3 linked regions of the Saccharomyces cerevisiae S288C genome follow. Changing the gene in region 2 together with the main gene of any one other region gives a genetic interaction. Each region holds a gene or a part of one and is shown on either strand. Other genes may lie near its edges.

Region 1 (4,253 bases), on a different chromosome or scaffold from region 2:
TTTTTTTCTTTTATTCTTTGATAACTTACTCAATTTCCCTCTCACGGTAAGGCCTCTTTCAGTCTTTTTCCAATTGTAATAAAATCTAACAATCATCGACATAGGTTGAGTGCCCACATACTCACACACTGGGCGTAATTCACTCCCAAATTTCTCGACAGCTTCCTCAAACTTTCGGATCTCCACGGCGGTAAAACTTGGCTCTTTCAAAAATTTTCTGGAAAGCTCCCTTTTACATTTTTTAAATGCCTCTGCTGTATCATAATTTGTAAATAATAAATTCTTTAGGACTACATCAATGAAATTACAAGTCTCACCTCTCACATTGAGAATAGGGCATATTTCGCTTTTGCATTGTTCAATATATTCACTCAATTTTCGAGTAGTAATTTTTGATGCATCAAGTACCCATGCTAGTTCCGAAGTTTTCGTTGAGCCTCGCTCTTCTTCTGAATTTGCACTTATATACGAGTTCCGCCTCCAGGGCACATTATGATTACATCCGTTCCATTGATACTTCACTCCTACCCTAGAGGGTTTGAAAGGATATGGAAAAAACATAGAATCATTTAATGCGTCACCAATATGAGAAATGGAATATATTCCTAAGTATTGAAACCAGCAATTTTCGGTATTATAACCAACATTCTCTTTGATAGCTTTGCTAGAAATTTCTTCAATTTTTTGTCTTACAGAGCGAATAAAATCCAGTTCCAGTGCTTGTTCTTCTAGAAACCTAACATGCGAGTCCTTAGTACCTTGTTGTTTCTGTAAGCAACTGAAGCAGGTCCAAACGACGTCTTTGTTCGGCTTCCTGTCAAGTGGCGGATCCATACAGTATAGATGTGCACAAACGCCGCATTCATCACATGAAAGGCTCTCCTTTTGGATACACCATTCTTTACAGAACTGACATCTTTTATCCCATTGGTAGTCTGCAGGACTTAATTCGTTTACCTCTAGTTCATGGAAAACGTATTTCTTCAAAACGTTCTCCAATGGATACTTCGGTTCTGTATAGATATAACGAAATCTCCTATTCAAAACATAAAGAAATGGCGACTTACTGTTCCATTTATTTAATATTTTATCCGTGCTGTAAACTTTGTAATATTTCAAAGTATATCTGTCAAAAAGTTCATCAAAGTAAAAGATATTGGGTCGTATAATGCATTCCTTCTCATTAGGAAGAACATCAAAAACTTCGTCTTTATGAAATATACTACATTTTCCCCTGTATGATGAAATAGGACATATGTCCTGGTGTAATGATGCATACACCAACCTTGGGTTAAAAGTATTTACGTGCTCTTGAATATCCCTAGGACGATAAAACCAATTCATTCTAACTTGAAAAAATTTAGCAGGGAAGACCGATGTTGTCTTTATAGCTTCATGAATAGTGTTAGAAAATTCTGGTTTACTAACAAAATTTACAACTCTGCCAACATAATAAGGCTCGCCAGCAGGCTCTGATATCATATAAATAGTGTCGTTCGCAGATAAAAGGACAGATTCTGTATTGAAAAGAGACATCTTTTTCAAGTCAATCATGGCATCATCTAGATCAAGTATGTTAGAGAATCTGCTATTCTTTCTGAACGAAGGGGGTAATGTAGGGATAAAGTTCCAGCAAGTATTCTTATCATGAAGGAATTTTTGGTACTTGAATTTCTCGTTTCTACTAGCTGGATTGCTTGTCCTTTTACAATTCCTGGGAGTTTGGCTATTGCTACCCTTGGTCTTAGCACCACTTTTTTCCGCTATTTGTATTTGTTGAACTAATTTAGTATCTATTTCCATTTCATTATAATTCACGTTTTTAGCAGCCTCTCTTCTTCTAGGTAATTGGAAATCTTCTTCTTTAGGCATAGCGTGACCAGCTGAAAGGCAGATGATCTCAATATGTCCCGATAGGCCAATTTTGCCACCAGATAGTTCGATGGCATTTTATTTTTAGTCCTTTTGAAAGCAATATCATAAAATATATATAGTTCTCCATGATGTTCGGGTCAGTCGCTCCGAAGCGTAACCTAGTATAATAAATAGTTCATTGCAGAAAATAACGAAAGAAATGGTGGAATACGATCTGTTATATCTAAACTAAAGCTAACTAACGGAATAAGCAAATACGAATCGACCGCTAATTTAACAAATATGGTTTTAGCAATGGAAAGTAGAGTGGCACCGGAAATTCCTGGGCTCATTCAACCTGGGAATGTCACGCAAGACTTGAAGATGATGGTCTGTAAATTATTGAATTCCCCAAAACCTACGAAAACATTCCCTGGTTCCCAGCCTGTGTCCTTTCAGCATTCTGATGTGGAAGAGAAGCTGCTTGCGCATGATTACTACGTTTGTGAGAAAACAGATGGTCTGCGGGTGTTGATGTTTATAGTGATAAATCCTGTGACGGGTGAGCAAGGATGCTTTATGATTGATAGGGAAAATAACTATTATCTGGTTAATGGATTTAGGTTTCCCAGATTACCCCAAAAGAAGAAAGAAGAGCTGCTAGAGACTCTTCAAGATGGCACCTTATTAGATGGTGAACTTGTCATACAAACTAACCCAATGACAAAATTACAAGAGTTGCGTTATTTAATGTTCGATTGTCTTGCTATCAATGGTAGATGTCTCACACAATCACCAACAAGTTCTAGACTAGCCCACCTTGGAAAAGAATTTTTTAAACCATACTTCGATTTAAGAGCAGCGTACCCTAATCGTTGTACTACTTTTCCGTTCAAAATTTCCATGAAACATATGGATTTCAGTTACCAATTAGTAAAAGTTGCTAAAAGTTTAGATAAACTACCACATCTTTCTGATGGTCTGATATTTACTCCTGTGAAGGCACCTTACACTGCCGGCGGAAAAGATTCATTGTTATTAAAATGGAAGCCAGAACAAGAAAACACCGTGGACTTCAAATTGATTTTAGATATCCCAATGGTGGAGGATCCTTCTTTGCCTAAAGATGATCGGAACAGGTGGTATTACAATTATGACGTTAAGCCAGTTTTCAGCTTATATGTCTGGCAAGGCGGAGCTGATGTCAATTCACGTTTAAAACATTTCGACCAGCCTTTCGATAGGAAGGAATTTGAAATATTAGAAAGAACATACAGAAAATTTGCAGAGTTGAGCGTTTCAGATGAGGAATGGCAAAATTTGAAGAACCTAGAACAGCCATTAAATGGTAGAATAGTAGAGTGCGCAAAAAACCAAGAGACTGGGGCGTGGGAAATGTTAAGATTCAGGGATGATAAGTTAAATGGTAATCATACATCGGTGGTCCAGAAAGTTTTGGAGAGTATCAACGATTCAGTTTCATTGGAGGACCTCGAGGAAATTGTTGGTGATATTAAAAGGTGCTGGGACGAGAGAAGAGCAAATATGGCTGGTGGTAGTGGGAGACCACTACCGTCTCAAAGTCAAAATGCGACATTATCTACCTCTAAGCCAGTCCATTCACAGCCCCCAAGTAATGATAAGGAGCCAAAATATGTAGACGAGGATGATTGGTCGGATTAGGCTAAGAAGTGTTCGTATCGACATATATCGGTGTAAGAATTTTGTGTATGAATAAGATAGAAAAGCAAAAGCAATTGCTTTTGCTAAATTAATTCAGTTAGTTATCTATTTATATGTACATGAGAAATGGGAGAATTTTGAGAAGCGAGGGTGAAAGTGTTATATACGCATATACATGTATATATATGCGCATGCTTATCACCTATGGGAAAGGACTAAACTTTTCAATAATTCTCTTGGGTTACCGTTACCACTTAGGAAATATTTTTCGTCAATCAAGTTCTCCCACTTTTTTCCTGTGATATCCTTGTCTAATAAAACATTTGATTGTTTGTAGTAATCGATTAGTTCGTTAACTTCCTGTTTGTTCAGTTTAGGAACCTCGAATTCGGTGACATTACCTTTTTGGAGCAATTCTACGAACTTCGGTTCATAGTGATATCTAGTAACATAGGGGTCTACTGGGATCTTGCCCAATGCCACGGGTAAAGTTTTGTTTGTCCTGTCAACGCCGGATATAGCTAATATAGTAGAACTCTCACCATTAGCAAATTTCGTCTCTCCTGAAATAATGTCCATCATCAATTTACCCATTTGTAAATCCAGGGAATATATTTGTTTATTCTCTGTATTTCTGTACGCAGAATATGCAGTAGTTAACACTTTTGAAAAATTATCCACTGTAAACATGATTGGCACCTTGGATTGGACAGATA
Region 2 (5,519 bases):
AATTGGCATTTTTTTTCGATTGTAAAGACTATTCTCTCGTAGGTCTGTTGCTTCTCGGCTACACGAAATTCCAGAAGGATGATCTGGTTCAATGCACGGCTTGCTTTCATCGAGCATCCCTGAAGAAGTTAGAATATACAGAATTTAACGGACACGCTCTATGGTGTCGGTATTACAACAAAGAGTTGTTGCCCACAATGTTGCTGGAGTTAATCGGCAAGGAGGACAAACTAATAACGAAATTGGGCGTGGGAGAAAGACTAAATAAATTAGAGGCTGTTCTACAAACTTTATAAATTAGATGTAATACATTATCCAAATTCTCATATGCTTGTATATGCCCCCATGCTGATGCGCAGATTCTGTCACTCTCTCTTTAAATTACGTGCACATATGCATACGCAACAGTCACGTTATATTCATGCAAAAAACCGAAGCAACATCATTATTTCAGTTATTCTCTTCGACAAATTTCTTTACTTTTTCGACAACCTCTTCAATTTCCTTATCTAGCATAAGTACAATTAAACCATCGCTACTAATTTCGTATTTGATATGACCTTCGTTCGGTATACATATTTCGGCATCGAACTTATCAAACCAGGTATTTAATTCGTCCAGTTCGTCAACATTAAATGGAAGTATCAACTCGTCAACAAATTCATGCATTTTTCCCGGCTTACCTTTCAAAAATTTTTCATCTTCTTTATTTATCTTGGTGTCGTCTTCTAGTAAGACGAGCATCCTATAAGTATTACTCTTGGACATTTCGTTTTTCTCTTTCGTCTTAGTGTAGTACGAGATAGAATTCAACCGCAAGGTAGCCTTGCTGTATTGGACAGATCATTCGAATTTGTTCCAAATAGGATGAGATGAGGTCGGCTTTTCTTCATTCTCGCTAGAAAATTTAAAAAAAAAGAAAAAAATAATTACATAAATATATATTTATATGTATATACTGTAGTCCTTCCTTGCATGAAAAGACGACGTTTTTCGTGATAATAAGAAGTTTGACACTAAAAGGGCATCCTTACAATACTTGAAATATGTGGCCTTATATAGGTATCTATCAATCTTGTAAACAGTTATGAGTTAAATGTCTGGAATTAAGATTGTGCCATCAGAATCATTTTTGTCCATCATTCCCAAGGCAGAATCACCATTGAAGGCTATATCTCCAGTGCCCACCTGCTCCATGTATAAGGTATGATTGACTAAATTCAAGTAGGAGTACATGAAGTTACTTAGCAATACTTGTTGTCTTAATTCCCTCCCGGGATCGCTAAGCTTCAGATGGCTGAGTCTGTAAATAGCCCTTTCAACATTAATTCCTAGACGATGGTCAAACATAATCACTGTAGAGTTGGTTATCATTGGTAATGGGAATCCAAAAGCACTGTCTGTGAATTTTATTGGAGCGTTTGAGTAATCTGGTTTAACGACATCTTCAAATGTCAATTTTCTTGGAGGCAAAGTTGAGATTTGAGGGGCAGTAGGTGAAGTGTTGTCTTCTCTCTCTGCTCCTATATCCTCTTCTAGTCCAGCTGTCGTATCTCTACTGATACTAGAGTGCACTTCGACGTCGTAGTTTACATCACCACCACTAATATCAAATGAATCGTCGCCATCTAACTCGCTTATAGTTTCCACCACAAATTCAGAACTGTGGCTAGTATGGCTGTCAGGAAGAAGGGTGGAAGCATTTGAACTTCTCACTTCTGGTTCAATGACGCTTGCTGTATCTATATCTTCGGTGGTAATTGTTTTGGTGGGGGATGAAGGGCGTTCAACTTCCGCTTCTTGGGGCTTTTTCTTGGGACTTTTCCTGAATTTTGATAAACTCGAATGCGAAGCCTTCTTTTTCAGTTCTTTTTTAACACTTTTTTTGATTACTTTCACATCTGATTTGCAGGTACCATTATGTTGTTTTCTTTTGAATAATTTGGCAAGCCTTTTCTCCAAGGAATTTTTCTTATGTGTACTGGCTTGGGTGTCAGTAGGCAGTTCTACCTTTTTCTCCACGACTGCCGGTGCAGTAGGCTTAGATGGCTGGGATTCAGATGAAGAAACGACTGAAGGAGTGATTACCACGGATTTTGCTTCTTCAGAATGTATCTGGAAAATTGGCGAATGTCTATTTTTGGAATGGTTTATTCTTTCAGAGGCACGTTTGGTAGATTTCGCTCTCCTCGATACACTCAAGTTAACAAAGTCAGCTTTTTCATTGTCCACACATTCTTCATCGTCTTCATCATCTGTAAGCTGTTGATAAGTTTGTTCATTAGCGTTCAAACTTCCATTGCTAGAATTCAACCATGACCAGCCATGATTTGCTTCGCTGTTATTGGTATTTGATTTTTCACTCGAGCTAACGTGCTGATCCAATTTTTCAGAAATCATCGAACCAGTGTTATGCGGCTTTATTAAAACGCTGTTGTTAGAACTATCTGTAGATAAAAGACTGCTCTCTTGAGAAATAGATGCATGTGTCAAATCTTCTTCATCCGAATAGTAGTTGGTGCTATCAACGTATTTCTCATTTTCGGTACTCCAATCAGTACTTGTTCTTCTGTAATGGTCGAAAATCTCGTGAAAATCATTCAATGATGCTTGCTCCTGAGGCACTTGTGTGTAGGAGGCAGGCGATGATGCACTTCTGCGATTGTCATTAGTTTGTATATTCATTAGGCTATTGAGTTTTACCGCCTGTGGAAGGCTACTACCCTCTAGTCTGATCTTATATGTGTTGAATTTAGACCTCCTTAGAGAAGATCTCTCTGGTATGGTAAGTCCAGTTTCATTAAACATATTTGATGCAAATTCGTTATCATTTTCAGTGTGATTGCCGTTCAAATGAAGACTTTCGTTGGTAAATGACCCTGACATGCTCAAGCTTCTGGCTAAAGTCACCGCATCTGAGTCCGTTAAACCGGCATTATTGGAAATCTTAGTAAGCTCTTCAGTAATTTCTTTCAAAGATACAGATCTTATGGTTTTGATGTCAGATGAGGATATTCGCTTATCCACTTGTATTTCTCCTTCTTGTGGTTTGTCTGCAAGGGGAGGTTCGTCATCAAACTTGGTATAAGATGTCTTCAACCGAGAAGGCCTTCTAACTACAGAGCCCGTGCGTTTTCTATTCGAAATTACATGATTGTTACCCAGTTCTAATTTGTTTTCATCAATGTCTTGATTTGTGCTTATTTGAATGTTTTGTAAAGTGTCCTGGATCAATTCCAAATAGTTTTCGGGCTTAACGTTAGGATGTTGGTCAGCGGGCACCCACAAAAGGTTTTGAGTTAAATCAACCATTTTTGAATCGTGGTCGTTCTCCACATCCAATACAACATCGTGAGCCAATGTCTTTACTCCACTGAGCCTTCTGTTCCTCGACGTTACTCTTGCTGAAGATGAAGTGGATGAAGAAGCATTACGGATGATTTTTTCCTTCTCCAATGTTTCTTCATCATGCAAATACTCTGTTTGAGTGATATCTATACTGTCGTCGACATTAGTAGCATCGCCCTCTTCATATGCATCATTGTCTTCGCTCCCTTGTTCTTCCTTTTGTTCTGATCGTATAATGTTCTCTTCATGGAGCGATTCTTGAAGGGATTCCTTTGAGGAATCTGAAGAATATGAGTTTCTACTGTTCACTTTGAACTCTAGCTCAGGGTCAATTACCAAATCCATTGAACCAATCGACAATCGCTTCAAATTTTTCACATTCTGAATTTCTGTATCTAAAGACTTGGCAGCAATTAACACGTCAGATTTCCTCTTCTCAAAAAGCTCCTTCTTGGACAGCTGTGTCTTCCTCATTCGCCTCATTTGAATATTATTATTACTGTCCGTACCACCACTACTGTTTTCTACAGTATTATGGCCATCTTTGTTTTGCATATCTTCCATCAGTACCATAAAATTCTAATTTAAATTCAGTCTATAGTGCAAACGTGATCAATGTAAAGTATACGATACTACTAACCTTGACACTGTTCTTTAGCGTTTTACTCCAGTTTTCAATCATATTATTATGATCTAACGAAGATGAGATGAAAACAAAAATAAGACGCGGCGTGTGCTACCCGCACAACGCGTCAGCAAATGTTACTGGTCACAATAATCATGCACTTATAATTAGCTACAAAAGGCCACTTCTAGGTCCAATGTGACCATTTTGCAGCCAAATCAAGCATAAACCGGCCGTGATACTATCGGCGATACACAGCCTAAATTTCTGAGTTTTGCGGTTTTCTCTGTGGGAAAAGTGCGAGAATTTTTCTGAATTGGGAAGAGTACATGTCAAAAACGGGAAGTGACACCATTGAGCAAATATCAAGGTATCCGATAGTTCTGTTCTCGATATTGGAACACAGTTATTTGGCAAATGTATCATTAAATGAAAGTCTTTCCGTATAGGATTCTGCCCTGTTGCCTGCTCTTCCCTAATATGGAAACTAGCTTCCGCATTTGACAAAAACTGAAAAAGTGGAAAAAAAAGGATCACACAAGAAACTATAAGGATATCTGCCACCTTCACTCCTTATACAGCTGCTGTTACAATTGCAAAGGGAATAGTACAGATCGCAGCAAGAAAGATATAATGTTGATTTCTTCACGGATCGTTCGAAGCTCGCTGGTAAATGTCCCGCTAAGATTATCTAGGTGTTTTACGCAAGCTCACAGAGCATGCAAAGAAGAAGAAGTTAATAGTCCTTTATCATCCGCAGCTGAACAGCCAGAGCAGAAGTATACGCATTTTGGTTCGAAGACTGTATTGAAGTCTACCAAGCAGAAGTTAGTTGGTGATGTCTTTTCTTCCGTGGCCAATCGGTATGACTTGATGAATGATGTTATGTCATTAGGAATTCATAGATTGTGGAAGGACCATTTTATCAATAAACTAGATGCGGGAAAAAGGCCAAACTCTACGACTCCTTTGAACTTCATAGATGTGGCTGGGGGATCCGGTGATATTGCTTTCGGATTACTAGACCATGCTGAGTCGAAATTTGGTGACACTGAGTCTACAATGGATATTGTAGATATCAACCCTGACATGCTTAAAGAAGGTGAGAAGAGAGCCATGGAACAAGGAAAATATTTCAAGGATCCTCGTGTGAGATTTTTGGTTTCTAATGGTGAGAAACTAGAGGAGATTGATTCTGATTCCAAGGACATCTACACAGTCTCCTTCGGTATCAGAAATTTCACCGATATTCAAAAGGGTTTAAACACTGCTTATAGAGTTTTGAAACCGGGCGGTATTTTTTATTGTCTAGAATTTTCCAAAATTGAGAATCCCCTAATGGACTTTGCTTACCAACAGTGGGCTAAGGTCCTACCTGTAATGGGCTCGATGATTGCTAATGACTACGACTCTTACCAGTATTTGGTGGAGTCTATCGAAAGATTTCCTGACCAAGAAACGTTCAAATCCATGATTGAGAAGGCAGGATTCAAATCTGCTGGCTACGAAAGTTTAACTTTTGGTATATGTGCCATCCATTGGGGCA
Region 3 (5,993 bases), on a different chromosome or scaffold from region 2:
ATGGTTGGCAATAGTTTGTGTGGTCTGATTATTTACGTACAGCTCCCCTTTTTGTGTGCATATTCCTGCAGATGCGACTCTAAGAGCTCACACTTAATTTTTCATTGTTTCTAATTTGGGAAAAGTCCGATTTCCCTCCTACTAACCGTTTAGTGCCAAGGGTGAGATGGCCCTTGAACGAGGGCCCAAAATAAATTTGGCTTTGGTTCTATTTCTTGGCCAAAACTGCAGCTGCAGCCCTATAGGCACTTTTCCTGTAGAGAACATTCTTGTGCTATGGAACATATGAAAGGATGGGGCATAAAAAAACGGCTTCCTATACGAAGTATAGCATCGTTCAAGAACAACCCGTCCCCATAGTAATAATGACTTAGTCGCTAAGTGGAATGTGGAAGGCATGAGTGTGAGATGGGCGACCAGTAAGAGCCCATGTGTGCAGATGTAGTTGTTCAAAGTTTCATATAAATACAGCGGCTTGATCAGCTTTGTTTGAGACATTTCTCTGTTCTTTTCCTTCCAGTTAAGCCTATATCATCACTAAGCAATAACCCAAAAAACAACAAATACAATGGTCAAATTAACTTCAATCGCTGCCGGTGTCGCCGCCATTGCTGCTGGTGCCTCCGCCGCAGCAACCACTACATTATCTCAATCTGACGAAAGAGTTAATTTGGTTGAATTAGGTGTTTATGTTTCCGATATCAGAGCTCATTTGGCTGAATACTACTCTTTCTAAGCTGCTCACCCAACTGAAACTTATCCAGTTGAAATTGCAGAAGCTGTTTTCAACTACGGTGATTTCACCACCATGTTGACTGGTATTCCCGCCGACCAAGTTACCAGAGTTATCACTGGTGTTCCATGGTACTCCAGCAGATTAAAGCCAGCTATCTCTAGTGCTCTATCCGTAGACGGTATCTACACTATCGCAAACTAGAGTCCCTGCTTTACGAATGAAACCTGTACAGGTATGAGAGGTTACGAAAAAAAATGATAAATGAAAAAAAAAAAGCTTAATAATATGAAATTAATAGTATGAATAGTTAGGCGCATGTATATAAATATAAATTTTTGTATATATGTATTATTAATATTATAAATTTCTTATTATTAAACCATCCTTTACGGAAATAACGGCCTATTCCCTTAGTATTTTGTTGTAGCTCGTGGAGTTATCCATTTTAAATGGATCTTGGGATAATTTTTACTGCTTCCCTCGTACTGGGAGCTTAATACACGTTCGTCTTGTTATCATCATAAATATGTGTTTATTATTCTCGCCTGGAAGGAAATCTTCAGTATAAATTCGTGAGGAATTTAGAATATAAATAATTCAATCATAAGAAAACATAAAAAGATCAAGTAAATAATAGAGGCATACAAGCATAACCAAATAGTACTATAAACAATTTTAAATTACACGTAAGAGATAATGGGTTATAAAGTATGTTTTTTTAAGCCATTACTGCAGCGTTCTTTATCATTATTTGAGTTCGAATGTGGAAAATGACGACTGAAATTTATAAGATAAAATATTCGAACTATATAGAAGAAAATTTTACACTCTTCGCCTTTGAAAAACATGAGTGAATGTCCTTGATCGTTATTTGGCCTTCTGAAACTGTCCATATGGGTTATTTTGAGTTCCTTATAAAGGCTTGGCGCATTATCGAATATCGTTTAGTAAAATTTATGATCCACTTGCATCGGCATGGGCATGAGCAGTACTCATTACAAAATCCAAATCAGTGATATTTACAGTAGTCACAAATTACTGTTATTTTTTATCCATTTTTGTAGTTTTTGTACAAATATACTATTGGAAATAGAAAAAAATTCCTTTGAAAGGATCAATTTTAAGTGGTAAATAGAATGAACAAGCCCAGGACAATGGATTCAGAAGGGGCCTTATCGTGTCTCATAGATATTTTTCTTCTCGGTAACCTTTCAGTAATTTCTTGAGCACGAACTCGAAGCGTTTCATCAGGTATTTCATAACTATGCATGATTTTTGATGGCTTTGCATCATATTAGAAGAAAATTTTGCAGCTGAAGAGCTCTAATACGGCTTTTCTGTGGTCGTAAAGACAAGGCTGTTCATAACGCTTGTTGCCATTATGTAGCTTTGCACATCTCATATCGGTAAGGATGTCGTTTGTCATCTAGCGGCGAACTACTGTAATGTAATAATGTCCTCTGGCGTCGTGTATGGAAAAGAGGCATAATCAAAATTGGGCCTATCAACTCATTAGCACTCTATGCTATACTGTAGTGCTCTGTGCGGACTTTGCTGTGCCATTATAATCCTTTCCACCTTGCGATGGTCTTTCCGCTTTTCTTGCTGTTATTTTTGTATACGGGAGATCTGCCTCACAAAAGGTATATCTTCTACTTGGAGGCTCGAGGAAGGACAAAACACACATAAGCACTACCCATTTTCCTGGTAAGACTATACCATGAACAGTATGGCCGATACCGATAGAGTCAACTTGACTCCCATCCAGAGGGCATCTGAGAAATCCGTGCAATACCACTTGAAGCAGGTCATTGGGAGGGGTTCTTACGGGGTAGTTTACAAAGCCATTAATAAACATACTGACCAAGTCGTGGCAATAAAGGAGGTCGTGTACGAAAATGATGAGGAACTTAATGACATTATGGCAGAAATTAGCTTGTTAAAAAATTTAAACCATAACAATATTGTTAAATACCACGGCTTCATACGAAAAAGCTATGAATTGTATATCCTCCTCGAATACTGCGCTAATGGTTCTTTGAGGAGGCTCATTTCAAGGAGCTCTACCGGATTAAGTGAAAATGAATCGAAAACCTATGTGACACAGACACTATTGGGGCTGAAATATTTACACGGTGAAGGAGTCATCCACAGGGACATCAAGGCGGCTAACATCCTGCTGAGTGCTGATAACACTGTCAAACTTGCTGATTTTGGCGTTTCCACTATTGTGAACTCCAGCGCCTTAACGCTAGCGGGCACACTCAATTGGATGGCTCCAGAGATCCTGGGCAACAGGGGAGCTTCTACGCTCAGCGACATTTGGTCTCTAGGTGCCACTGTAGTTGAAATGCTCACAAAGAATCCACCCTACCACAATTTGACAGACGCCAATATCTACTACGCTGTTGAAAATGATACCTACTACCCACCTAGCTCTTTCTCTGAGCCACTAAAGGATTTCTTATCTAAATGCTTTGTGAAAAACATGTACAAGAGGCCGACAGCCGACCAGTTACTCAAGCATGTGTGGATCAACTCTACCGAAAATGTGAAGGTCGACAAGCTCAACAAGTTCAAGGAGGACTTTACCGACGCTGATTATCATTGGGATGCCGATTTTCAAGAAGAGAAACTAAATATATCACCCTCTAAATTCAGTCTTGCAGCGGCTCCCGCTGCCTGGGCAGAAAACAATCAAGAACTAGATTTAATGCCCCCCACTGAAAGTCAATTGCTGAGCCAATTGAAGAGTTCATCTAAGCCTTTGACGGACTTGCATGTGCTTTTCAGTGTTTGCTCCCTCGAGAACATCGCTGATACAATTATCGAGTGTCTGTCGCGCACAACTGTTGATAAACGATTAATAACTGCATTTGGCTCCATTTTTGTTTACGATACCCAGCATAACCACTCTAGGTTGCGACTGAAATTCATCGCTATGGGAGGAATTCCACTGATCATTAAATTCGAACATTTAGCCAAAGAGTTCGTCATCGACTACCCTCAGACTTTAATTGAATGTGGAATAATGTATCCTCCGAATTTTGCATCGCTGAAAACCCCAAAGTATATTTTAGAACTCGTCTATAGGTTCTACGATTTAACATCCACAGCCTTCTGGTGTCGCTGGTGTTTCAAACACCTCGATATATCACTCCTTCTGAATAACATCCATGAAAGAAGAGCCCAATCCATACTACTAAAGCTATCGTCATATGCACCATGGTCTTTTGAGAAAATTTTGCCCTCTTTAATTGACTCTAAGCTAAAAAAGAAAATTTTAATCAGTCCTCAAATTACTTACGTAGTCTTCAAATCAATAAACTATATGATAACCACGAATGACGATAAAATACACAAGTCCGCTATTCCTTCTTCTTCCTCTCTACCGTTATCCTCCTCACCCACGAGGAACTCACCAGTGAATTCGGTACAGTCTCCATCAAGGTCCCCTGTTCATTCTTTGATGGCAACGCGTCCCTCTTCTCCAATGCGACACAAGAGCATTTCAAACTTTCCCCATCTGACCATATCTTCAAAATCAAGACTACTAATTGAATTACCGGAGGGTTTCTTTACCTGGCTAACATCTTTTTTTGTTGACATGGCCCAAATCAAAGATTTATCTGTTTTAAAGTACTTCACCAAGCTTTGTTACCTTACAGTACATATAAACAGCACTTTTTTAAATGATCTGCTTGACAACGATGCTTTTTTTGCTTTTATCCGGAATATTGATACCATCATTCCCTTTATCGACGACGCAAAGACAGCAGCTTTCATTTGGAAACAAATCACTGCTATATGCGTTGAAATGAGTTTGGATATGGACCAAATGAGTGCTTCTTTATTTTCTACAGCTATGAATTTCATCAGAAAAAAGAATAACACCTCCATAAGTGGACTGGAGATCATACTGAACTGCTTGCATTTTACGTTACGCAATGTAAATGATGATGTGGCTCCTACAGTGGGCTCATCAGAGTCTCATAGTGTTTTCCTCATAAAGGTCAACAATGACGCTGCTATTGAATTACCGATTGATCAATTAGTTGACCTGTTTTATGCATTGAATGACGATGACGTTAACCTCAGTAAACTAATTAGCATTTTCACGAAGATATGCTCATTGCCCGGTTTTGAAAACCTTACAATTAATATCATATTTCACCCGAACTTTTATGAAAAGATTGTTTCTTTCTTTGATACCTATTTCAACAGTTTACTTATTCAAATCGATCTATTGAAATTCATAAAGCTAATATTCTCAAAATCGTTATTGAAGCTATATGACTACACAGGACAGCCGGATCCTATAAAGCAAACCGAACCAAATCGTCGTAATAAGGCCACTGTTTTCAAACTTCGTGCCATTTTAGTACAAATAACGGAGTTTTTAAACAACAACTGGAACAAGGATGTCCCAAAAAGGAATTCAAATCAAGTTGGGGGGGACTCAGTTTTGATCTGTCAGCTATGTGAGGATATCCGTTCATTATCAAAAAAAGGAAGCCTGCAAAAAGTTTCAAGCGTCACTGCAGCAATTGGTAGTTCTCCAACAAAAGATGAGCGTAGTAATTTGCGATCCTCCAAAGATAAAAGTGACGGCTTTTCCGTCCCCATTACAACATTTCAAACATAATGTAGGAATTGCATGTGCATACATACATATATAGAGAAATAATACAGCATTACATTAACACTATATATAGAATTGTGAACCTTCCAATACTGAAAACGCATCTGTTTGGAAAAGAGATCAGAAAAGTTTTTGAATTTAAAGAGGCCAGTAATGATAAAAAAGCATATACATATATATGCTTTTTTTCTTTTCTTTTTTTTTTCAATTGGGGATTAAATGTATGAACGACTCAAAGTGCATTTTGTTAAATGTTTCTAGCTATAGATCAATAAATCTGAAATACGATATCTGACATGATTGCAGTGGCACAGTCTTCCGATAGGTTACAGCCAAGTTTTTTTTTTAAGGTTTCTGAATTTTTTCATTACGTTTCCTAATTAGGTTAAACGTAAATAAAAGCGACTTTTCAAAAGAATATCAAATCATATAACATGAAAAGAGCAAGATTCACAATACTAATTTCAATGAGAGTGCTATTTGATAATTGAATCAATTCTCTGTGTGAGTATGCATAGACGACAGTTTTTCCAAGAATACCGTAGTCCTCAGCAGCAGCAGGGACACCCACCAAGGTCAGAATACCAAGTTCTCGAAGAAATTGGGAGAGGTTCA

The links.
Region 1: of ZDS2 (region 2) and CEG1, extra expression of one rescues a mutant of the other (dosage rescue), as found in Saccharomyces cerevisiae (2 studies listed by BioGRID).
Region 3: mutations in ZDS2 (region 2) and CDC15 impair growth when combined (synthetic growth defect), as found in Saccharomyces cerevisiae (one study listed by BioGRID).

Annotation. Positions count from the first base shown.
Region 1 is NC_001139.9:263,988-268,240, forward strand, and holds CEG1 (mRNA guanylyltransferase), read left to right. Parts: upstream 1-2,157; coding exon 2,158-3,537; downstream 3,538-4,253. Other genes in the region: DNA-binding E3 ubiquitin-protein ligase SNT2, read right to left, coding at 1-1,872; mitochondrial 37S ribosomal protein mS29 RSM23, read right to left, coding at 3,736-4,253. UniProt on the Saccharomyces cerevisiae protein: Second step of mRNA capping. Transfer of the GMP moiety of GTP to the 5'-diphosphate terminus of RNA via a covalent enzyme-GMP reaction intermediate.
Region 2 is NC_001145.3:50,042-55,560, reverse strand, and holds ZDS2 (Zds2p), read right to left. Parts: upstream 3,922-5,519; coding exon 1,093-3,921; downstream 1-1,092. Other genes in the region: PML39 (Pml39p), read left to right, coding at 1-296; YML108W (uncharacterized protein), read right to left, coding at 451-768; COQ5 (2-hexaprenyl-6-methoxy-1,4-benzoquinone methyltransferase), read left to right, coding at 4,607-5,519. UniProt on the Saccharomyces cerevisiae protein: Acts as a negative regulator of polarized growth via an alternative mechanism to ZDS1. In heat-stressed cells appears to play a role in localizing BCY1 to the cytoplasm. Seems to interact with, and down-regulate, CDC42. Also acts as a suppressor of PKC1.
Region 3 is NC_001133.9:171,599-177,591, reverse strand, and holds CDC15 (serine/threonine protein kinase CDC15), read left to right. Parts: upstream 1-2,456; coding exon 2,457-5,381; downstream 5,382-5,993. Other genes in the region: seripauperin PAU7, read left to right, coding at 569-736; serine/threonine protein kinase KIN3, read left to right, coding at 5,889-5,993. UniProt on the Saccharomyces cerevisiae protein: Protein kinase of the mitotic exit network (MEN) essential for late nuclear division in the mitotic cycle. Promotes mitotic exit by phosphorylating DBF2 and directly switching on DBF2 kinase activity.